Linked DNA regions of Sus scrofa. The main gene of each other region encodes a partner of the protein of the gene in region 5 in a complex. Links are inferred from orthologs where the notes say so. Each region holds a gene or a part of one and is shown on either strand. Other genes may lie near its edges.

The links.
Region 1: DHX16 (region 5) and CWC27 share a complex: the UniProt entries of both Homo sapiens proteins name them as parts of the minor spliceosome. The link is inferred for Sus scrofa from reciprocal best matches to the Homo sapiens genes DHX16 and CWC27.
Region 2: DHX16 (region 5) and RBMX2 share a complex: the UniProt entries of both Homo sapiens proteins name them as parts of the minor spliceosome. The link is inferred for Sus scrofa from reciprocal best matches to the Homo sapiens genes DHX16 and RBMX2.
Region 3: DHX16 (region 5) and BUD13 share a complex: the UniProt entries of both Homo sapiens proteins name them as parts of the minor spliceosome. The link is inferred for Sus scrofa from reciprocal best matches to the Homo sapiens genes DHX16 and BUD13.
Region 4: DHX16 (region 5) and CWC15 share a complex: the UniProt entries of both Homo sapiens proteins name them as parts of the minor spliceosome. The link is inferred for Sus scrofa from reciprocal best matches to the Homo sapiens genes DHX16 and CWC15.

The regions. Positions count from the first base shown.
Region 1 is NC_010458.4:43,362,859-43,367,324, forward strand, and holds part of CWC27 (peptidyl-prolyl cis-trans isomerase CWC27 homolog), read left to right. Parts: intron 1-566; coding exon 567-679; intron 680-3,387; coding exon 3,388-3,531; intron 3,532-4,466. UniProt on the Homo sapiens protein: As part of the spliceosome, plays a role in pre-mRNA splicing. Probable inactive PPIase with no peptidyl-prolyl cis-trans isomerase activity. As a component of the minor spliceosome, involved in the splicing of U12-type introns in pre-mRNAs.
Region 2 is NC_010461.5:106,879,226-106,884,442, reverse strand, and holds the start of RBMX2 (RNA binding motif protein, X-linked 2), read right to left. Parts: upstream 3,532-5,217; 5' UTR 3,497-3,531; coding exon 3,492-3,496; intron 3,298-3,491; coding exon 3,182-3,297; intron 1-3,181. UniProt on the Homo sapiens protein: Involved in pre-mRNA splicing as component of the activated spliceosome. As a component of the minor spliceosome, involved in the splicing of U12-type introns in pre-mRNAs.
Region 3 is NC_010451.4:44,147,869-44,152,334, reverse strand, and holds part of BUD13 (BUD13 homolog), read left to right. Parts: intron 1-893; coding exon 894-1,664; intron 1,665-3,963; coding exon 3,964-4,268; intron 4,269-4,466. UniProt on the Homo sapiens protein: Involved in pre-mRNA splicing as component of the activated spliceosome. As a component of the minor spliceosome, involved in the splicing of U12-type introns in pre-mRNAs.
Region 4 is NC_010451.4:27,044,169-27,049,128, forward strand, and holds the start of CWC15 (spliceosome-associated protein CWC15 homolog), read right to left. Parts: upstream 3,113-4,960; 5' UTR 2,969-3,112; intron 2,938-2,968; exon of another isoform or gene 2,690-2,937; intron 1,728-2,689; 5' UTR 1,720-1,727; coding exon 1,589-1,719; intron 995-1,588; coding exon 882-994; intron 1-881. UniProt on the Homo sapiens protein: Involved in pre-mRNA splicing as component of the spliceosome. Component of the PRP19-CDC5L complex that forms an integral part of the spliceosome and is required for activating pre-mRNA splicing.
Region 5 is NC_010449.5:23,193,955-23,198,420, reverse strand, and holds part of DHX16 (putative pre-mRNA-splicing factor ATP-dependent RNA helicase DHX16), read left to right. Parts: intron 1-1,999; coding exon 2,000-2,210; intron 2,211-2,376; coding exon 2,377-2,475; intron 2,476-2,584; coding exon 2,585-2,737; intron 2,738-4,435; coding exon 4,436-4,466. UniProt on the Homo sapiens protein: Required for pre-mRNA splicing as a component of the spliceosome. Contributes to pre-mRNA splicing after spliceosome formation and prior to the first transesterification reaction.

The DNA.
Region 1 (4,466 bases), on a different chromosome or scaffold from region 5:
TGCATGTATCTTTTTCAATGAACGTTTTCTCTGGATATATGCCCAGCAGTGAGATTACTGGATCATATGGTAGTTCTATATTTCGTTTTCTGAAGTACCTCCATACTGTTTTTCATAGTAGTTGTACCAATTTACATTCCCATCTGCAGTGAAGGAGGGTACACTTTTTTTTTCTCTACACCCTCTCCAGCATTTGTTATTTGTAGACTTGTTAATGATGGCCATTCTTACTGGTGTGAGTTGGTACCTATTGTAGTTTTGATTTGCATTTCTCTAATAATTAGTGATGTTGAGCACTTTTTCATATGCCTGTTGGCCATCTATATGTTTTCTTTGAAGAAATGTCTATTTAGGTCTTTTGCCCATTTTTCAATTGGGTTCATGTTTATTTTGTTGTTGTTGTTGAGTTGCAAGGAGATATTTTATAATAAGGGAAGAAAAAAATTTTGGTTTAGAAGCCTATTTAACATTCTGGGGGAAAAATCTTGTGACTAGTTATATTAACTCTGATAACTTCAGTTACACCTAGTTTCAGACATTGATTAATTCTTTTAATTTTTTTCCAGCATATTATGACAATACCATATTTCATAGAGTTGTACCTGGTTTTATAGTCCAAGGGGGAGATCCTACTGGCACAGGGACTGGTGGAGAGTCTATTTATGGGGCTCCATTCAAGGTGAGAGTGAATTTTTATTATTATTTATTTTTAAGTCAGCCTGGGTTGCTTAATTGAAAATGATTATGCCACACAAGAAGAAAATGCATTTCATGTTCGTGCACAAAATCAATTTTATCACATATTTAAGATTATATAGTATAAGAGGGGGACTTACCCCATCAAGCATTCTTTCTAAGTTTTCTTATCACAACCTTTTACCCTAGATTAAATTCAGGTGGAGTTAAAGGTGGTAGCGAATAAAATATGTCAGACAAAAGACCATATAACATATTTCCTGATATTTGACTGTATCTGATCTCTGTAGCTCTGTATATATATATTTTTTAGAACATTGCACATGCCATCCTTTTTTTATTTTTATTTTTTTGGTTCTTAAGGCCACACCTGCAGCATATGGAGGTTCCCAGGCTAGAGGTCACATTGGAGCTGTGGCCGCAGGCCTACGCTATTGCCATAGCAATTCCAGATCCAAGCTGCACCTGCAACCTACACCACAGCTCACAGCAACACTGGATCCTTAACCTACTGAGCGAGGTCAGGGATTGAACCCTCATCCTCATGGATACTAGTTGGATTCATTTCCACTGTACCATGATGGGAACTGCCATGCCATACTATTTTAAAACATTTTATTTAACACCATATTATCTGCTTGAAATGCTATAACAGAGTACCTCTGACTGGGTGGCTTAACCAATAGGAATTTATTTCTCACAGTTCTGGAGGCTTGGGAGGTCCAAGATCAAGGTGCTGGCATTCAGTTCCTGTGAAGATTCTCTTCTTGGCTTGCAAATGGCTGCCTTGCTGTGTCTCAAACGGTGAAGGGAGAGATTTCTGCTGACTCTTCCTCTTCCTATAAGGGCAGCAGCCCTAATGGATTAGGACTTCACCCTTAGGAAGTCACTTAACCTTTTTCATCTCCTTACAGGCTCTATCGCCAGTTCAGTCATATTGGGAGTTAGAGCTTCAACATAGGAATTTTGTGGGGGACACAATTTAGACCATAGCTGAATTCATTCTAAATTGTACATGGTACATCTTTGTAGCACAACATTTCTTTCATAGCAAGAGATCACAAGGAAAACAGAAGGAAGAAACAACATAGAAAATATTAGAAAAGAGTGTGAGAGATAATCAAGAATAGGCCAGTGCTTTGTTAACTGCCAACATAGATCTAGAAAGAAAAAGAATTAATGTCATAGTTAAGATATTAAGATTAAGAGTGAGTTCAAGTAAAAGCTAAAGCTAGGTTATTTTTTAATCTGATGGCAGTGGTATTATCTGAATGAATAAACATCAGTACCTCATAAAATATGTGAAATTTTGAAAACTTCACATTGATACTAATGGGATAGAGTATCTGGAGTTTCCTTTAATTTTATACTGGGTTGCTTTATGACTCTTGAAAACTACTTGAACTGTTTGCTTTAATTTTCATATGATAGTGGCATGAAAAATATAGGAAATGCTTTTTTAAAAAAAGTCCTAAATGTTACTGTTAGAGTATTCTGTATTTTACAAAATTGAGATTTCTCATTATAGAGCCTCCATACAGTAGGAAACATTCTTTTATTTTGTTGTTTGGTGTGACAGAATAGCTCTTTGTGACAGTTCCTTTCTAAATTGATATTTTTTTGCTTGTTATGATTAGGTAATAAAGTTATCTTTGTAAATTTTTCAATAAGTTTATTTTTTTTGGTCTTTTGAGGGCCACGCCATGACATATGGAAGTTCCCAGGCTGGGGGTTGAATTGGAGCTGCAGCTGCTAGCCTAAGCCATAGCAATGCGGGATCTGAGCTGTGTCTCTGGTCTACACCACAGCTCAAGGCATCTCCGGATCCCACCGAGCAGGGCCAGGGGTTGAACCCACATCCTCATGAATACTAATTGGATTCGTTACTGCTTAGCCACAACGGGAACTCCCCAATAAGTTCCTTTTTAATAGAATGTACAAGAGTTAAGACCCTTTGAATTCAGATCTCTTGAGAAGAATTTATGAAGGAAAAGAACTTCTCTTCTGAAAAACATTGATTACATAACATGGCTGTATTAGACATGAGTCTAGTATGAGATCTTGATAGAAATGTTATTAACTAAGAGACTAATATGTAGCATTATAGCAAGAAAACCACCTTAGAATGACTTGCTTCTGCTGTTTTGTAAACTGACAAATGGAAACCTGTGCCAATTCAAAGATTCAACTTAGAATTTTCAAACACAGTAAAATGCGTAACACAACCATGCTGGATTCCTTGAGTGAGAAAAGTAAGAAAACAATTGTTTCATGACATTTAGATCAAGGTTAGGAAGGGAATAGTTGAAGACTCTGCAGTGACTCAAAACTAGTTATTCTGGAGAGAAATAGAAGGTTCTGAAAGCTTAGATGACTTTGAGGGATGGCAGAATAGGGGAGTGAGTCTTAGTAATCCATTCCCTTTCAGTAAAGAGGAAGCTTTCTTCAAAATAGGCTAAATTTGTGGCTGAGTATATTTAGAAGATACTTACAAGCTAGTGAAGTCAAGTTTGATAGAACTGAAGGAACTGTAGATATTAGATTTTGTTATATATGAAAATCAGTTAACTTAAACATTTGTGATTAAAAGTTGTATGGGACTTTGCTTGTTAGCTGAATATGAAGGGTCTTATAACCAAGATCATTCACTAAATCTTTTTTTGTTCTTTTTTTTTTTTTTAAATGCTTCAGGATGAATTCCACTCACGGTTGCGTTTTAATCGGAGAGGACTGGTTGCCATGGCAAATGCTGGTCCTCATGATAACGGCAGCCAGTTTTTCTTTACATTGGGTCGAGCAGATGAACTTAACAATAAGCATACCATCTTTGGAAAGGTTTGTGTCCAGTTATCTCAGGCTTCTATGATATATATGATCAACTTATCTAAAGTTGCCTTCATAAATATATTCCCTGAGATATTTATTTATTATTTCTAAAAATGATGGAATGCTATGTATTTCTGTTGTGTGTTTTAAGTCATTCGTTTTAACTTTGAATTTTTCTTTTTTTCTAAAATCATATTAATGGTATTATGAGCTCCTATGTCACTCATCTGATACTATTTTTACATTTTTAGAAACACACCTAGGTAATAACATTTAGTAGTTAAAGTTTTATTTTGTTAATGATGGATTCCCAGTGGAGGTTATGTTAACTTTAAAAGTTTTTACCTGGACTATTACTTTGAATAGTACCCTATTTAGTCCTTTTCACATTTAACATCATATCAGAGAATGTCATTTCCATAGAATTTTCAGTAGCTTTCTTTAAGAGGGATTCTGAAGATTTTATTTTCCTCCTTCTTCATAAATATATTCCCACATGTTTAAGTCGCAGGCATGCAGACATCATTAGTGTATTGGCTCCCTCTACTGGTTCAATAAAAATGGTTTCACTTTGTCCTAGGCAGCTGGATTTTATGATGGAAAAGGGAAAAAAACAAACTTAGCACAACTGGAAAAACTGATATTATTTTAGAACTTTTGAGAAATGTTAAAGGAGTCATGCCACAAACATTTAATACAATCCTGTTGCATAATACTTAACAACATGAATAAAGAAATATATACTAGCACGTGTAAGTGACTCCAACACAGGTTGTCTGATGTTCACAGATTTTCCTTTTATTTAAAAAAATAAATATATAATAAAATGAGATTAGATTGCATTCTGCACCATTGTTTACAGCTGATGTTACATAATTCACACATTAGAGACAAAGTATAGCATGGTGGTTAGAAGTCAGAAAGGCCGTCACTGTAAACTCTAT
Region 2 (5,217 bases), on a different chromosome or scaffold from region 5:
AATGACAGAAGCACATATGAGATGTAGCAACTGTACAGAAAAAAAAGTGATTAACTTTGAGTGGAAAGGTTGAGGGTCACCCCTAACCAAACTAATTCTCCCCACACCCACAATCTTATGGACAAAGAAGACTTTCCAGCACAAACATATACTGAACTCATCTGCTCTTTAGCTACAATTTACACCTAAGATCCAAAATCAGTTTAAATACGCAAATATTAACCCCACCTGTATAGAGGGAACATTCCTGAATATAATCAAAGCCATTTATGATAAACCCACAGCAAATATAATACTCAATGGGGAAAAATTGAAAGCCTTCTCACTCAAATCTGGAACAAGACAGGGATGCCCACTCTCACCACTGCTCTTCAACATAGTTTTGGAAGTCCTAGCCACAGCAATTAGACAAACAAAAGAAATAAAAGGCATCCATATAGGAAGAGAAGAGATCAAACTGTCACTGTATGCAGATGACATGATACTATACCTAGAAAACCCTAAGGACTCAACCCCAAAACTACTTGAACTGATTAATCAATTCAGCAAAGTAGCAGGAGATAAGATTAACATTCAGAAGTCAGTTGCATTTCTGTATACCAGCAATGAAATTTTAGAAAAGGAATACAAAAATACGATACCTTTTAAAATTGTACCTCACAAAATCAAATACCTCAGAATACACCTGACCAAGGAGGTAAAGGACCTATATGCCGAGAACTATAAAACTTTAATCAAAGAAATCAAAGAAGATGTAAAGAAATGGAAAGATATTCCATGTTCCTGGATTGGGAAAATCAATATTGTAAAAATGGCCAGACTACCCAAAGCAATCTACACATTCAATGCAATCCCTATCAAATTACCCATGACATTGTTCACAGAACTAGAACAAACAATCCAAACATTTATATGGAACAACAAAAGACCCAGAATCGCCAAAGCAATCCTGGAGAAACAAAAACCAAGCAGGAGGCATAACTCTCCCAGACTTCAAGAAATACTACAAAGCCACAGTCATCAAAACAGTGTGCTACTGGTATCAAAACAGACAGACAGACCAATGGAACAGAATAGAGAACCCGGAAATAAACCCTGACACCTATGGTCAATTAATCTTTGACAAGGGAGGCAAGAACATAAAATGGGGAAAAGAAAGTCTATTCAGCAAGCATTGCTGGGAAACCTGGACAGCTGCATGCAAAGCAATGAAACTAGAACACACCCTCACACCATGCACAAAAATAAACTCCAAATGGCTGAAAGACTTAAATGTAAGACAGGACACCATCAAACTCCTAGAAGAAAACATAGGCAAAACACTCTCTGACATCAACATCATGAATATTTTCTCAGGTCAGTCTCCCAAAGCAATAGAAATAAGAGCAAAAATTTACCAATGGGAACTAATCAAACTGAAAAGCTTTTGCACAGCAAAGGAAACCCAAAAGAAAACAAAAAGACAACTTTCAGAATGGGAGAAAATAGTTTCAAATGATGCAACCGACAAGGGCTTAATCTCTAGAATATATAAACAACTTATACAACCCAACAGCAAAAAAGCCAATCAAGCAATGGAAAAATGGGCAAAAGACCTGAATAGACATTTCTCCAAAGATATCCAGATGGCCAACAAACACATGAAAAAATGCTCAACATCGCTGATTATAAGAGAAATGCAAATCAAAACTACCATGAGATATCACCTCACACCAGTCAGAATGGCCATCATTAATAAATCCACAAAGAACAAGTGCTGGAGGGGCTGTGGAGAAAAGGGAACCCTCCTGCACTGTTGGTGGGAATGTAAACTGGTACAGCCACTATGGAGAACAGTTTGGAGATACCTTAGAAATCTATACACAGACCTTCCATATGACCCCGCAATCCCACTCTTGGGCATCTATCCGGACAAAACTCTACTTAAAAGAGACACGTGCACCCACATGTTCATTGCAGCACTATTCACAATAGCCAGGACATGGAAACAACCCAAATGTCCATCGACAGATGATTGGATTTGGAAGATGTGGAATACTATGGAATACAATGGAATACTACTCAGCCATAAAAAAGAACGACATAACGCCATTTGCAGCAACATGGATGGAACTAGAGAATCTCATACTGAGTGAAATGAGCCAGAAAGACAAAGACAAATACCATATGATATCACTCATAACTGGAATCTAATATCCAGCACAAATGAACATCTCCTCAGAAAAGAAAACCATGGACTTGGAGAAGAGACTTGTGACTGCCTGATGGGAGGGGGAGGGAGTGGGAGGGATCGGGAGCTTGGGCTGATCAGACACAACTTAGAATAGATTTACAAGGAGATCCTGCTGAATAGCATTGAGAACTTTGTCTAGATACTCATGTTGCAAAAGAAGAAAGGGTGGGGGAAAAATGTAATTGTAATGTATACATGTAAGGATAACCTGATCCCCTTGCTGTACAGTGGGAAAAAAAAAATATTAACCCCACCTCACAATTGTTAAGGATTTCATAGGAAATAAATTCCCCTACGAATGTTTCCTTCTTCATCTGTAAAATGGGGATATTGGCACTTACCTCACAGAATTGTAATAAGAATGAAAATAAAACAATGGCTATAAAGTGCCTAGCACAATGTCTGTTGTAATAATCTCTTCGAATAAACTGTCAAATTACAGAATGTGACACAGTGAATATGGAAATGATGATGTGGCCATGGACGGGGAAATAAATTCTGCGTGAAGGGTAATGAAGGGAGAGGGAGTTGGCAGTAATACCGGATAGTGGCTGATACCAGGAGTTCTCAAACCCCACAGTTCTTGCTGTTCCACTTGCTAGCTATGCGACCTGAAGGAAGTCCATTAACTTTTCTGCATCTCAGTTTCCTTAGGTGTATAACTAGAGGACAAGAGGATGATAATAACAGTCTCTGAGAAACCAAACGGCACGATTCTTAGCACACTGAATGGCAGGCAGTACCTATCATGAACGCTGATTTGGCAGCGAGAGCAAACTAGAAATGAGCTAGAAAAGCGACCTGGAAAACGGATTTATAGGCCGACAGTGGAAGTAAATAAAAGTGGGTGATGAATGTCGGGAGGAATGATGGGCGGGAATGCTGAAATGTTAGGAGGCAGGCCAGGAGAGAATGAGAAGCCCTGCGGGAGAAAGATGTGGGCCTCACCTAGGAAGATCCAGGCGCTGTCCTTGTACTCGGAGTGCCAAGACACCTTCTCCGCCACCCCCAGCTGGACCTCACGCTCATTCAGCTCGTTGATCAGCTTCACTTTAGTTAAAGGGCTGCACAAGGGGCGGAAAAGCGGACAAGTAAGCGCGGCCTAGCCTGAGGTAAAGGAGAGCAAAACTGGGAGACTAATTTTCTAGTATCTGCGCCTCCCCCGCTCCTCAGCCTCACAAGTGCTCTACCACTCCAGCTTCAGTGAACTACCCCCGGCCGCCTGTCCCCTTTTCCCAAAAGGAACCTGAGGCCTTACTTCATCTCCGCGGGTTCGCCCTCAGCACCTAGGAAGCGACTTCCGGGAGAGGCTGCAAGACGCATGCGCGACCCGGCGCTGCGCGCCCATTGGTCTCAGCTGCGCGCTTACGCCGCGCCGGAAGAGCCGGGCCGCGCTGGGGCGTGGCGCCTGCGCACTACGTCAGTAAGCGGCTTCTCTTGTTCCGCCGATGTCGCTCTTTTTCTGTAGACCCTCGCTTCCACCGTGCTTGGAGTTGGACGAGGGTGCGAGCCTGGTTTGTTACAGGACTCCGAACTCCTAAACGATGCCTGGCATTTATTGGGTTAACTATAAATGTTTTTTGAAGGAAGACTTTGAGAGGTGCCTGATAACGGCGACTTGAGTCCCATCCTTCTCTTCCAGTGCAAATCCTCATTCTGTCCTTAACTCCCAGCCAATTACTCACACGCACACCGCCATGAAAGCATCCCTGTTCAGGAGTTACAGCAGAAATGTGAAAAAGCTGTGTGAGAGGGTAAATCTTTTTGTCTCAAATCGCACCGCATAGGCAACTGACCACTGTGCCTCCATAGGCTGAATTGAATACCCAGATTTGTGTGAATGCTGCTAACCGTTTTCCATAGTCTGTCTGCTACTCAAGCAGGAGGTAGGAATTGGTATTGTTAAATTAATAACTAACAGTTGAGCAGGTAATGATAGATTGTGTGCTAAGCAATTTACATGTATTGGCCCTCCTGTGAAGGCTTAGATACAATTATCCTCCCCGTTTCGTAGCAGAAACTGAGTTTAAAGGAGTTAAATAACTTGGATGGTACTCTGTCTCTATCCATCAGATCCACTTGATTTATCGGTCCTTACTGAGCATCTGTATTTGTCCTATACAGTAAGTCTGCAGATGGGAATGTAAGGTTGGGTTCTCTGCCTTCAAAGAGCTAATAATATCATTGAGGAGACAGGGCTTGATAGATTTGACTCCAGAAATAATCAGGAACCTGTAGAAGAGATGATGGCATGTAATGTGTGAATTAAGCCATTCTGAAGATTCAAATCCATCTTGCATGTGTCCACATCAATTCTGGCCTTAGACCATGCAAATTATGTCAAAGTCAAATTATGGGGCTGTATAGTTCTCTGTGTAGGCCTAGCTCACAGCCCCAGAAATTAAAAGCACTTTGATGATGGTGACAGTGACAACTGTACCCTCAATGGTTCACCATGTACCCAATGTCTTCCCAAGAAGCAGAACAGGCTGCCCACCAATGACAGTTTTTGTGTCTGTCCCCCTCCCCCACTTCCAACCCAGCTATTCATTAACTTTGTAGAATTACCTTGGCAATGAAAACTAAACAGTGACAGATTGCATACAGGTTTTATCTGCTCCTAGAAACCTTAGGTTGCTTAGTTGTAGGGTTGAAGTAGTCACTGCAAAGTGGTAAACTAGCATGCAGCATTATCTGGATGGATTCTTCAGGCTATTGTGAAATGAGAGAATTGGAGCAATACCTAGGCCTCGGTCATCAGAGTTCCTAGCAATTCTTACCCATTGGAAGTTTATCCATGGAGATGTCCCAGGCAAACTGGGACAGATTTCAGCTCTCCCAGCTTCTATTCCTTTCTCCACCAATAACATTCATTTACCACTCATTGTATGCAGAGCTCATTTCCAGGTTCTATGGGTAATGCTAAGGAAATTGAAGGCAGTCCCCACGTTTATGGAAAGGCTGAATATGTCTAGCCGAATTCA
Region 3 (4,466 bases), on a different chromosome or scaffold from region 5:
ATATCCATTCTATCAGTTATTAGTAGTATGATTTTTGCAAATTACTCCATCTTTCTAAGTATCAACTTCATCTATAAAATTGGGATAACAATATTTATCTCCTAGGCTTATTATGAGAAGTAAATGGGATAACCTATATAAAACATGGGTGTGCAGTAGGTGATCAGTAAATGCTGATCCTTCTTTTTTGGGAGGCTATACCTGCAGCATGCAAAGGTTTCCTGGTCAGGGATTAGACCCGAGCCACAGCAGTGACAGTGCTGGATCCTTACCCTACTGAGCCACCGGGAGACTCCCTGATCCTTCTTACTTTCTGGTGTTCTCCCGCTTCTAATAAGGAGCACAATGGCATGGATTCAGTAGGTAACAGCATTTCACTTTGATGTGTCACAGATTTAGTCAATTTGCCTCTTGAAAGAAGAGTGGGTACACACTATGAATTATCTAGGCTAAATATCAATAAGAGCCTCTAGTGGGGAGCTCTGTACAAATCAGTTTTGTGGAAGAGCATTGGATTAAGAGTTAGAGGACTGGAGTTCAAGCCTATCTTTTCTCTTCGTAGCTGTGACCCCAGGTAAGAAATCACTTAGCCCCTTAGAGTCTCTGTTTTCAGGTCTGTTAAGCAAGGATAATTGCCTTGCTTACCTAACAAAATATAACATGAAAAATATTTAAAATGCTTTACAGACTGATGACTTGTTAGGCAAATATGAGAGATTATTCTTAGGATATTCATGAGTGCTGTCTTACTGCCCCAAGTAAGAGTTGTACAGACCTTTTGGGCTTTCTGAGTAGTTTTCAGATGTATCCTCCTGGGGCATCTTTTGAAACTATGGTTCCTGGGGGTGAACAGAGCATCTGTGGGATTCTGACTCTTTGCTCTTTGTGTTTAGGCCACAATGAAGATCTGCCCTCACACAGACATTTCCGTCGTGACACCCCAGATGCATCACCTCCTAGGAGGGCTCGTCATGACACCCCAGATTCATCACCTCCGGGGAAGGTCCGCCATGACACTCCAGATTCATCGCCTCCTAGAAGGGCTCGTCATGATTCCCCAGATCCATCACCTCCTAGGAAGGTCCACCATGACACACCAGATCCATCACCTCCTAGGAGAGCCCGTCATGACACACCAGATCCGTCACCTCCTAGGAGAGCCCGTCATGATACACCAGATCCATCACCTCCTAGGAGAGCCCGTCATGACACACCAGATCCATCACCTCCTAGGAGAGCCCGTCATGATACACCAGATCCATCACCTCCTAGGAGAGCCCGTCATGATACACCAGATCCATCACCTCCTAGGAGAGCCCACCGCAGTTCCTCAGATATCTCTCCTCCCAGAAGGGCCCGTAATCGCTCCCCTGACACAGTTCAACCTAGAAGGACTCTTGATTCCATGGACACATCGCAGCTGAGGAGGGCCCGTCATGATTCCCCTGACTTGGCTTCTAGTGTCCCTCATTCACTGCCCAGAACCAAAAGCAGTACAGCCCCAGAAAGAGCGTCTAGCCAAGCTTCTCCCCATTGGAAGGGGCCAGGACCATCTCATCCATCACTCCCAAAGAACAGCAAGCAGGAGTGTGATTCAGACCTCTCTCCTCCACGAAAAAAGCAAGCAAAATCCCATTCTGGAAATAAGCAACATGACTCTAAAGGTGAGCATTTGACTGTCCATAGGAAGGACTTAACTCCCTAGGCACTTTCTTTTGGGCCTTTTAGTTCCTTTTTAGGTATTTGTGATCTTTAGAAATGAGAATGGAGCATTGGAGAAGTTTTAAAAACTGGAGGGAGGAGTTCCTGTCGTGGCACAGTGGTTAACGAATCCAACTAGGAACCATGAGGTTGCGGGTTCGATCCCCGCCCTTGCTCAGTGGGTTAACGATCCAGCATTGCCGTGAGCTGTGGTGTAGGCCACAGACATGGCTCGGATCCCGAGTTGCTGTGGCTGTAGTATAGGCCAGCGGCTATAGCTCCAATTAGACCCCTAGTCTGGGAACCTCCATGTGCTGCGGAAGTGGCCCTAGAAAAGGCCAAGAGACAAAACAAACAAACAAAAAAAACCGAACAAAACTGGAGGGAAATCATGAGAGGTTGGGCTGAGGAGAGTTAAAAATTTATAGTAGCAGAGAGGAGGGTTTTATATATTCTTTTGTTTATTCTCCCCACCCCATATAAGAATACTGCATATTCATTGCAGAATGTATAGAAATGTATAAAGAAGTAGAAAAAGGTCATACAAAATTCTGTCATTCAGAGGCAGTCACTGCTAGTGTTGTAATCTGTGTTCTTTTAGTTTTTTTTGTTTTTTTTCTATTCATTTTTTATGTGGTCGAGGTCTGTCTAGGCAGTAAATACATATTGCATGTGTAATCTTGTCTGTTTTTTTTTTTTCCCTTAACATTATCTTCCTCATGTCATAAAATATCTCATTAATATAATTTTTGTTGGTATTCTGTTACATAAATTTACCATTTCCTTAATACTGCATATTTGAGGTTGTTTCTGCACCTTTTCTTCTATAATTCTATAATCAACATCCTTATGCATAAACTATTGCCCTGTTCTGGATTATTTCCTTAATAATACTTCTAGATTGATCTCCTGGAAATCAAAGTACTTCCAAATATGTTTCCTTAGAAATTAAGTAGAAATTGATTTACTGGGTCAGAGGGTCAGGGTCCTATGCTTTTAGGACTGTTGACACCTGTTGCAGATTGCTTTTTGGGGGAGGTGATTTGTAGTTTTTTGCTTTTGTTTTCTTTTCTTTCTTTTTTTTTTTTTTTTTTTTTTTTGTCTTTTTGCCATTTCTTGAGCCACTCCCGCAGCATATGGAGGTTCCCAGGCTAGGGGTCAAATCGGAGCTGTAGCCACTGGCCTATGCCAGAGCCACAACAATGCGGGATCCGAGCTGCGTCTGTGACCCACACCACAGCTCACGGCAACGCAGGATCCTTAACCCACTGAGCAAGGCCAGGGATCGAACCCGCAACCTCATGGTTCCTAGTTGGATTCATTAACCCCTGCGCCATGACGGGAACTCCTTGCTTTTGTTTTTTTAATGGCTGCACCCAAGACATGTGGAAGTTCCCAGGCCAGGGATTGAATCCAAGCCACAGCTGTGAACTACTCTGCAGCTGTGGCATGGCAACACTGAATCCTTTAACCCACTGTGTCAGGCCAGGGATTGAACTCGTGCCTCCACAGCAACCTGAGCTGTTGCAGTGGGATTCTTAACCTACTGCACCACTGCAGGAACTCTTTGGGGGTGATTTGTGATGTCTACAACTCAGGCCTGTGCAGTGAGATTTGTTTACTCTTTTGTCCCAAGGCACTGTTTTAATTTTATTTTTTTTGCTTTTTAGGGTCACATGTGTGGCATATGGAAGTTCCCAGGCAAGGGGTCGAATCGGAGCTGCAGCTACCAGCCTATGCCAGAGCCACAGCAACACCAGATCTAAGTCACATCTGCAACCTATACCACAGCTTACAGCAATGTCGGATCCTTAACCTACTGTGCGAGGCCAGGGATCAAACCCATGTCCTTATGGATACTAGTTGGGTTCATTACCACTGAGCCACAGTGGGAACTCCCCTGTTTTAATTTTTAAATTCAGATACATTGTTATCCTTTAGTCTGAGGACATCAGAATATATTCTAGGCCATTTTAACTTTTACCATGCTGCTGAGACCTGAGTGCAGTTTGTTTTGCTCACTCTGTGTGGATAAATATGGCACAGAGGAGTATGTTGAGATATTACATGCCAGTCACAGTCATTATAACTTGAGACTAGAATCCCACATCCTGCCTGTTGGTTTTAAAAGTTGTCTCTGATTTCGATTTTCTCTCCCATGTCATTTGTACTTGTATTTAGGTTAGTGATCGTTTGTCACAGGAGGACTAAATGAATGCTGAACATTAGCCTGACTTAAAGCCTATATTCTTTAATTTTTAGGCTCTTCCCCCAGACATAGGAAATGTCATACAGGCTCATCACCCAGGAAGCATCACAGTCACATGTTGGACTCTTCTTCCTACCCAAGTGACCATAGGAGAGCCTCTGATTCAGATCTTTCTCCTCCTCGACATAAACAAAGTTCAGGGCCCCGGGATTCGGATTCCGATCTGTCACCCCCACGGAATAGACCTCGGCACCAGAGCTCTGATTCTGACCTCTCCCCACCAAGGAGGAAACAGCGGGCCCGATCTTCTGATTCTGATCTGTCTCCACCTCGAAGGAGTCAGCCTCTGGGAAAGAAGGTAGGAATTTTCAGGAGCCGTATCTTAGGTAACTCCTGTCTTCCACCTTTGCAAGTCCTAGAGATCTCAAGCCAGAGGAGGACGAGGTAGCTCTCCAAAGCATAGTAAATCAGTTCACAGGACCCCTAGAGCTCTTTCTTCTCTCTGAAGGCAGGACTGCCTTTAAACCAGCCCAGATGAACCTGCAAATACAGGTTT
Region 4 (4,960 bases), on a different chromosome or scaffold from region 5:
GGGAAAACAAACATCATTTAGCTTACTGAATCAAATCCTGCATTTCTTATGATATTTTAGGGGCCTGTGGGCACAAAGAGCTTAAGTCTTAGGCATGAAAGTAAGGATTATAACCACAGTGCCTGGCAAATAAGCCCTTGGCAAATATGTGTTGAATAAATTAATAGAAGTATTGATTTTAATATGGGAACTGTAGCCTTGCTCAGGAAATTCAGAAAATAGTTTGCATTTGCTAGAAATAAAAATGGGAGAATTTTTCTTTTCTTTTCCTTTTTTAGGGCCATGCCTCTGGCATATGCAAGTTCCAGGGCCAGCGATCGAATTGGAACTACAGCTGCTGGCCTACACCACAGCCACAGCAATGGGAATCTGAGCCACACAGGGGATCTGAGCCACATCTGCGACCTACACAGGATCCTTAACCTACTCAGCAAGGCTAGGGATGAACCAGCATCCTCATGACACTGGGTTTTGAACCAGCCGAGCCACAATAGTTAACTCCATGGAGAATTTCATAGACAGAAACAATGGGGCCTCAAAAAGTCTGGCTGTGAAAATACCTTAATCCGAACTGAAACAATGGTTGCTAAATATTCCCAGATCACCTAGTTCTTTCCATATAGAAACATAAAAAGATGGAACTGGAATCAAATTCATTACCATCTCTAATCTAATCTAATCTAATCCAATCTAATCTATCCTAACCTAATCTGATCCAGTCTTTTAAGAAACTTAAAGTTCACACCAATATTTAAAAGCAAGCAAACAAAAACAGTAATCCATTCTAATTACCACGTGAAAGAAAAATTACTGTCAACACAATGTCATGAGAGACGTGTCCAGGGTGTAGGGTAGTCTAGGGGTCTAGGGAGTGTTGGTACCTCGGGTCGGCCTATCTCTATTTTTTTCTCTTGCAGCAGCTCTCTCTCTCTCTTCCAACTCTCTCCTGAAGTCGCGGTTCCGAACCTCTTCGGGGGCATCCTGAGTGGTCTGTCTAAAGCAGAAACAAACCAGGGCAAAAATACTTCTTAAAAACACACGGCTGTAGTCATAGAAGACAGCTTGTGAAAAGCAACTTTGTCCTGAGTTCCTGAAACATAAAGTCCCATTAGGGAAACTGGACAAGATCACTATCCTAATCTGAGGGTTACTAAGAGGCTCCTGTGATGTCTCTGATATTTCAAGAACCTCAAGCTAAATCACATACTTTCCCATAATAAGGGTGCAGGTTGATTAAAATGTCCTTACTTTTTGTAACTATGTCAACTCAGGGCTCTGTTACAATAATACTCTTAATCTCATATTGATTAGTGCTGATAGTGCACGTCCCTCTGAGATAATGTATCAGCTATTGCTCCATCTACTTATGGAAATTCCCAGTTAATTGCAATTTCTGCTTAAGGAATATCTTGTAGCATTTTACAATCATAGCGCATGATTTTAGTGTTATAAACACTAATGCATTCTACTCCTATGAAAATAGATTACTAAGTGATAATAACGTAAACACTATTATCTTATGACCATACCATTTAACAGATTTGGTCTTCCTTTGTGAAACAAAAAAAAAAATAAAAGGCTTCATTACCTATATTTTATCTTCGTATGAGAGGGTAGGTCTCTACTTGAATATTGCTTGGAGAGTTGGCTCAAATCACCTTCTCCTTTTCCTCTCCCACCTCTTGCAGGTTCAAAAGTTGGCCTAGCTGCCGTCGTCATTTTTTATGCTTTGAAGAAAAAGTGCCAAGTTACTTTCAACATAACAAACTATCATTTTATAAAGTATTAATCAATATCCATCCTTGGGAAAAAATTTCCCTAACTTATTCCCCAAAACTTATTTAAAATGATCTCAAAAGTTCTCATGAAAACAAACAGTGAAGCTCAGGGTGTAGCGGGAATATGCAGATATTTAGTACAAAAAGTTCTGTCATGAAGATCTGAGACTGTGTTCCTGTTCTCCTTCTGGCTCTGTGGCCTTGGACAAGCCAACTAGCTTAAGTTTCCGTCATCTGTAAAATGGGGACTATTCCTCATGGGATTATCATGAAATTAAGAGACTTGACATGTCAAAGCCCTTGCAAAAATACAGTACTGCCGTGTCTCAGTTTTTAAAAAAATCTCAACTCAACCTTACTCCACCAGACTCCTTAAGGTTCCCATTTTATCTAAACCTCACACTGCAGAAAAGAGGCTAGCAGCTACAAAAACAGAGAAGATATCTAAAAAAACAAATCATTGACAGATACTGAAGGTCCTGAAGAAGTGTGCTCAACTTCGACGACAGTTACATTGGCAAAGCTCCCCAACAATCTTTTGTTGTTTCAATTTTATCCTACAGCAGCCAATATAATATAAATCATAACTTTTGCAAGTTACAATTTAAGGGATGCTCAAAACACAGGAACCCACCCCCACGGGACTCTGGTAACTACAAATCAGGGACTCCTTCCTTATGTTACTTCTGCTTTTAAGCAACTAAAAAACACTGCACAGCCGATGTGGCTACTAAAACCTCCCTCAAGCGTCGGAAAAGCAAGTGTCTGGGGCAGCTGGCATACTTCTCTAGATTTTCAAAAAAGGGAGAGGAATATATCCAGTGGGGGTGAAACTGGGTTCCGGGCCGCTGGGGGCGCCGCCGCCTCCCACACACCATCGTTATTTACACTCTGGGTTCTGGGGAGTTCACCTTCGGGTTGTCATCGGAAAGCCCGGCGATTCTTCACCCGTGCCAGATTTGGCGAGGGGCTGGGGGCGCCCAGACCCGCTTAACGCAGCCTGTAGAGCTACCTTCACGCTACGCTCTCCGCGGCCGGCCCGGGACTGGCCGTCCCCAGTCCAACAGGCGCTGGGCTCCGCAACCCGCTGCCGCTCCGGAAAACTCCTCTGCCTGCAGTCGGTTCTCCGCGTCCGCCCCCAACTGTCCTCCCCCCCCCCCCCCCCAGTCTGCTTTCCCCCAGCAGCTCACGTTGGCCGAGGTCCGAACGCACCAGCCTCCGGAGATCATTCAGAAACCACTTAGATTCTCGGCTCCCAGAAACCCCTGCGCCCAGGGCCAAAGCCCAAGACCCGGAAGCAAACCCTAACCTCTTCAGGGGCGGAGGCAGGGACCAATCGGCAGAGGCCAAGGGAGAAGTCGGCGTGACGACAGCAAGAGGCGGGGCTTAAACAGCCCAGGGGGCGGGCGTTTGAAATCGGTGCTTTGAGTAGACCCTAAACATCATTTTATACCTTCGAGAACCAATTACTTAATGTCTCTCCCGTCTTTTCCTTTCCCGACCCCCTCCCAGACGCCTTCATTCCGGTACTGCGTGGACGGAAAGCCCCGGGTAGCCGACACCACGTCCCCGGCTACCGAGAGAGAAGGAGAGAGAGCGTAGAAAAGGATTATACCAAACGGTTTAAATCCAACGGCTCCTGCTTGCTTAATCTTTGAGCTAGACCCAGCAAGCCTAGAGAGTTGGGCTACGGAAAGACTAGTATTTTCTTTTAATTGGATATGAAGAAAGAACAAATATGTACGGGGGCAACCACGATCTTTATAAAGGTACCATTCCTGCAAAAAATGTTAGTCTTCAAAGCAAAGGTTGTATTCGTATTGACTGTTAAAATTGTAATTTTTTTTAAAGCCTAAGTTCTAGCGGGAGGGGAGATGTCACTATTAGAGATTCATTCATTAACCGACATTGAACGTTTAGAACGGTGGGCCCAACTGCCAGGAGCCCTAGATGCAATTATAAGATGGCTACTCATGCGTTAGGTGAAGTTTTAATAAGGCAACGAACAGGAAAGGGAAAAAAATCACCAATTGTCCTTCTTACACCTCCAAAAGCACTGTGGGAGCAGGGATCTTGTTTGGTCAGTTTAACGTGGTTATCGTGATATCTAATCACATAGTCTTTGGCTCAATAGATACTTAAACAAATGAAAATCCAACTCCCTTAGCTTAGTTTCAAATGTAAAGAGCTCATTAAAATTGAACATAAAAAAGCTTTTTCCCCCCCTCAGAATTCTTTCTTTGAACTCTAAAATGAACAAAACAAAAGGGTAGAAAAACTCCCTTCCCTGTAAATTTCAAGATGCAAGTCTTGATTTTTCTAGGAAGGTATTACTCCCCCAGTCTTAGACATCTCAGTAAAGGACACTACCTACCATCATACTAGTTACTTGAACCCAAATCCCAGGGTTTCCTCTTAGATTCCTTTTCCTTCACTTGTCTCATCCAACTTATTTGCAAGTCTTACCAATTCTACTTTCAAAATATACCCTAAATTTCATTCCCACTGCTACTACCCTAGTCCAAGCCACCATCATTTTCCGCCTGGAGTGTAACTGTCTCCTTTGTCTTATAGTCAGTTTTGCATCTAGCAGTGAGAGTGATCTTTTAAAATAGTGAGTCAGGTAGTGTCACTCTCTTGCATAAAAATCTGCATTAAAAACCAATTTTTTTCCTTCTTTTTTTTGGCCGGCTCTTACTGCAAGTGGAAGTTCCTGGGCCAGGGATTGAATTCCCACCACAGCAGTGACCTGCTACAGTGACTACACCAGATCCTTAATCTGCTGCTCCAAGTTTCAAATGTCTGTCTTTCTTTCTTTTCTTTCTTTCTTTCTTTCTTTCTTTCTTTCTTTCTTTCTTTCTTTCTTTCTTTCTTTCTTTCTTTCTCTCTCTCTCTCTTTCTTTCTTTCTTTCTCTCTCTCTCTCTCTCTCTCTCTCTCTCTTTCTTTCTTTCTTTCTTTCTTTTTTACCTTTTGTCTTTTTAGGGCTGCACCCTTGGCATATGGAGGTTCCCAGGCTAGGGGTCCAATCAGAGCTACAGCTGCCGCCGGCCAACGCCAGAGCCCTGTCTTCAACCTACACCACAGCTCATAGCAACGCCGGATCCTTAACCCACTGAGCAAGGCCAGGAACCAAACCCGCAACCTCATGGTTCCTAGTTGGATTTCTTTCCGCTGTGCCACG
Region 5 (4,466 bases):
GTTTTTTGGTTGTTTTGGTTTTTATGGCTGCCCGCATGGTATGTGTAAATTCCCAGGTCAGGGATCGAATCTGAGCTGCAACTGTGACTTGTGCCATAGCTGTGGCAACACTGGATCTTTAACCCACTGTGCTGCACCAGGAATCGAACCTGTGCTGCCGCAGAGACAATGTCAGATCCTTAACCCGCTGCACCACAGCGGGAACTCCTATCCACCAGTTCTTTTTTTTTTTTTTTTTGGCTGAGTCCATGGCATGTGGAAGTTTCTGGGCCAGCAGTTGAACCTACAGCACAGCAATGACCTGAGCCACAGCAGTGACAACACGAGATCCTTAACCCACTGAGCCATCAGGAAACTCCACCTGTTCTTAAATCTTTATGGTTCAAACTGTCCTAGCACTGAGATGGGACCGGAGGGCAGAGAGGCTGCCAGAGAGCCTTTCCCACCCTCCCCAACTGTTCTCAGAGTTCAGAAAACCACCAGGATGGTAGAGCGGTGTTGTGGGAGCTTGAGACTCCACGTGAGGACCACTTGCAGAAACTTAGAATGTTCAGCTTAGACGGGAAAACTCAGATGCTCTGGGTCCCTGTAAATGTGTGAAGGGCTGTTCCATGGGAAAGGGTCCATAGAGTGGCAGAGATTGCAGGGACTCTCGGAGTGGCCCAGCCCCAACCCTTGTGCCTCAGGCCCACGTCTGGAGTGGCTTGGTCTGTGAATAAGGAGTTCTCAGTGCTACCCTTGGCCAGGGTGGGGTTGGATGAGCATGTGTTGTGGGGGAGAAGCGATTCACAGATGGGGTGGGGTTGGGGTCAGGCCAGCAAAAGCACTATGTGCCTTTTTAGCTCTTAGGAGCCTGGGGATTTCTGGTCCTGGAGGATCCTGGTGGAGCAGGGGGACAGACATGATTTGGTCCTTCATATCCCTTGTAGAAACCTCTGAGAAGCCATGGAGGGCCCGCCGTGGCGAGAGTGTTCGGGGTGTGGGCTTTTCCCATCAAGCCAGGCTGCTTTGTGAAATGGCTGAGGACTTGACTGTCACTGTCGGGGTTAGACACGATGGTTGAGGTTGGGGGTGAGCTCCTGTGGCCTTGGCAGGAAATCCAAAGACTAGAGGCAAGGAGAAGGATGGTAGCCCATGCAGAGCTAAGTTACACAGAGACCAAGAAGCCTGCAGAGCCCTCTAAGGCTGGGGTGGGAGGGCTTACCTGGCCCCCCTCTCTCCAGAAAGAGGCAGCAGGGCCCACAGGGATGCACAGTAGCTGCCCCACAGGATCCTGGGAACTTGTGGGCTGCTCAGATCGTGGTGGCTCAGGTCTAAGTGTTCCTTCCCAGCCAGCCTGGGAGCCTAGCCTTATTCAAAGAGGCTTTGCCTTACTGTTTTTTCTCCTTTAAATTTCTAGATGCCTTTGGGAATTTCCGTTGTGGTGCAGTGGAAATGAATCTGACTAGTATCCATGAGGTTGCGGGTTTGATCCCTGGCCTCGCTCAGTGGGTCAGGGATATGGCGTTACTGTGAGCTATGGTGTAGGTCACAGATACAGCTCAGATCCTGCTTTTCTGTGGCTGTGGTGTAGGCCAGCAGCTGTAGCTCCAATTGGACCCCTAGCCTGGGAACTTCCACATCCCGTGGTTGTGGCCCTAAAAAACAAAAAGCAAATAAACCATAAAGACAGATAACTTTCTGTCTGCTGACTTTAAGAGACTCTTGAGTCTAATCCAGACCAGATGTCTGACTTGTCCTGGCCTTGGCTTCCAGCCTCCAGATCTTGGCGGCTGCTGTCTGCCCAGGCTGGGACACGGAGAAGACCACGGGGGCCTGGGCTTCTCTAACTTTCTGTTGGTCTGGCTTAAGTGGGATAATTGGCTTCTGCTTGGAGCCCCCTCCTCCCACATTTGCCCTGGCCCTTTGCTTCCATCTGTTCCTCTCGTCTGGGGACCCCAGTGTCACACCCGCGTTGCCCAGCGCCCCTCGCTCACTGCTGCCCCCGTTTCTTCCCCAGCGTGGTGATGGTGGATGAGGCCCATGAACGGACTCTGCACACAGACATTCTTTTTGGATTGATCAAGGATGTCGCTCGATTCCGACCTGAGCTCAAGGTCCTGGTGGCTTCAGCCACACTGGACACTGCCCGCTTTTCTACCTTTTTTGATGATGCCCCCGTCTTCCGAATCCCTGGACGCAGGTTTCCAGTTGACATCTTCTATACCAAGGTGCCCCTCGGGGAGAATGCGTCTACGCTTCAAGGCGGGTGGGGGGGTGGGGGGTGGGATGGGAACCCCAAGGGGACCTGGGATAAAGTGTTTCTTGAGCTGGGAGGAGGGGAAGAGCTTTGTCTCAGCAGGTGGCCTTCCTGTGACCCCGCCTCCTCCTCCCCAGGCCCCAGAGGCAGACTACCTGGAGGCCTGCGTGGTGTCGGTGCTACAGATCCATGTGACCCAGCCCCCTGGGGATATCCTGGTGTTCCTGACAGGACAGGTGTGTGACGTGGGGGAGGGGCTCGCTGTGTGTACCCACAGGGAGACCAGGCTGGCTGGTCGGCCTCCCGTGACTCTGGGACCCCTTGTATTCCCCACCCCAAATCCAGGAGGAGATCGAGGCTGCCTGCGAGATGCTCCAGGATCGCTGCCGCCGCCTGGGCTCCAAAATCCGGGAGCTCCTGGTGCTGCCCATTTATGCCAACCTGCCTTCCGACATGCAGGCTCGGATCTTCCAGCCCACGCCCCCCGGGGCCCGAAAGGTCAGTTGGAGAAAGCCGTGTTCTTCACCCCTCTGCCTCACGCAACTAGTAGTGGAAAGGGAAGTAGGTGCCTGCCCCGTGCAAGGCGTGTCCTGGGCTCTGCTGCCGCTGCGAGGCCCGGTGGCAGGCAGTCCTCTGCCGCAGGAGCTGGAGGGGGACTATGACTGAAACCGGGAGATGGCCGAATGCACGATCCGGAAAGCGAGCGTGGTGGGGTGCAGCGGAGCAAGGAGGCCCCTGGTGTGCGGGGAGCTGGGATTCCATCTGGACCTTTCGGGAAAGTGGCGAGGAACATCAGAGGAGGACCTCAGGTGTGTGTGAGGTCGGAGTGGTCTGGCAGGCTCATGGGAGGTTGACACGGGAAGCAGTGGGAGACAGGCTAAAAACAGCTCTGGACAGAGGGTAGAGAGGGCCTTTGATGGACTTTATACCAGTGAGTGGCCATCAGAGGATTTTGAGAAAAAAATGTAACTTTCATTCAACAAATATTTAAAGAATTTCTCCCACGTTCCAGGTGCTGTTCTAGGGGATGAGGAAACAGTGATGGACAAAGCAGAGTCGCTAGCCTCAGAGGGTTTAATCTAATGCAAGTTAGGAGACATGGACACTTAAATACCTAATGTCAATTTGTGACAAATGCTCTGGAGAGATTCACTGTGTCATGGGAAGCTGGAGGCTGGCTCTGGGGCAGTGGGGGAGGAATGGCAGGACGGTAATGCCCTTAGGGTGTAGGTCAGGCCTCTCCCTCTGATAAGGTGAGAGTTGAAGCCGGGCCTGAACCAGGTGAAGGGAGGGAGCCAGGCTGATATCTGGGAGAAGAGCGAGCCCAGCAGAGGGAAGAGAGCTTGTTCGGAGGACTGCGCTCAGCAGTGGGTGAGGTGGGGGGGAGCATGGAGCCCTGGTGCCAGAAGCTGAGATTGGAAGAGTAGCCAGGGCCTGGAAGGTTCCAGGCCTGAAGGGGCTTAGATGTGATTCTCAGGTGGGGAGGGAAGCCCCTGAAGGATGTGGGGATCGGCACAATAGGCTCATGTTTTGAAAGGACTGTTCCGGATGCCATGTAACCAGGGCTAGGAATAGAAGCAGAGACTCATGGGAGGCTGTTTTGGGAAGTAACGTGTGAAGGTGAAAATGAATGTGACAGTGGGGAAGGTGCAGCAGGACCCTGACACCCCCAGCCCCACCTCTGAAAAAACCCCGAACTCCCTTCCTGTCTTTTTGGAAACTTTTTTTTTTTTTTTTTTTTTTTGTCTTTTTAGAGCCGCACCTGCAGCATATGGAAATTCCCAGGCTGGGGGGTCTAATCAGAGCTGTAGCCGCCAGCTTATGCCAGAGCCACAGCAACGCGGGATCCGAGCTGCTTCTGCTTCTGCCAGAGCTCACAGCAACACCGGCTCCTTAACCCACTGAGCAAGGCCAGGGATTGAACCCGCAACCTCATGGTTCCTAGTTGGATTCGTTAACCACTGAGCCACGATGGGAACTCCATCTTTTTGGAAACTTTGCATGTTACACCCTGCTGATCCCCACATCTCCCTCACCCTCTGCTGGCCTTGTCCCCCTCTCCTCACTTTCGCCCAAAGCCCCTCAGCTCCTGCCCCTTATCTCTACGTGCTTCTCTGCTCTGCATCTTGGAGAATTACTTTTTCTGGGTAACTAGGCGGGTGGGGCTCCTGAATGACCCCACATCCTCTTGCTCAGGTGGTCGTGGCAACGAACATTGCGGAGACCT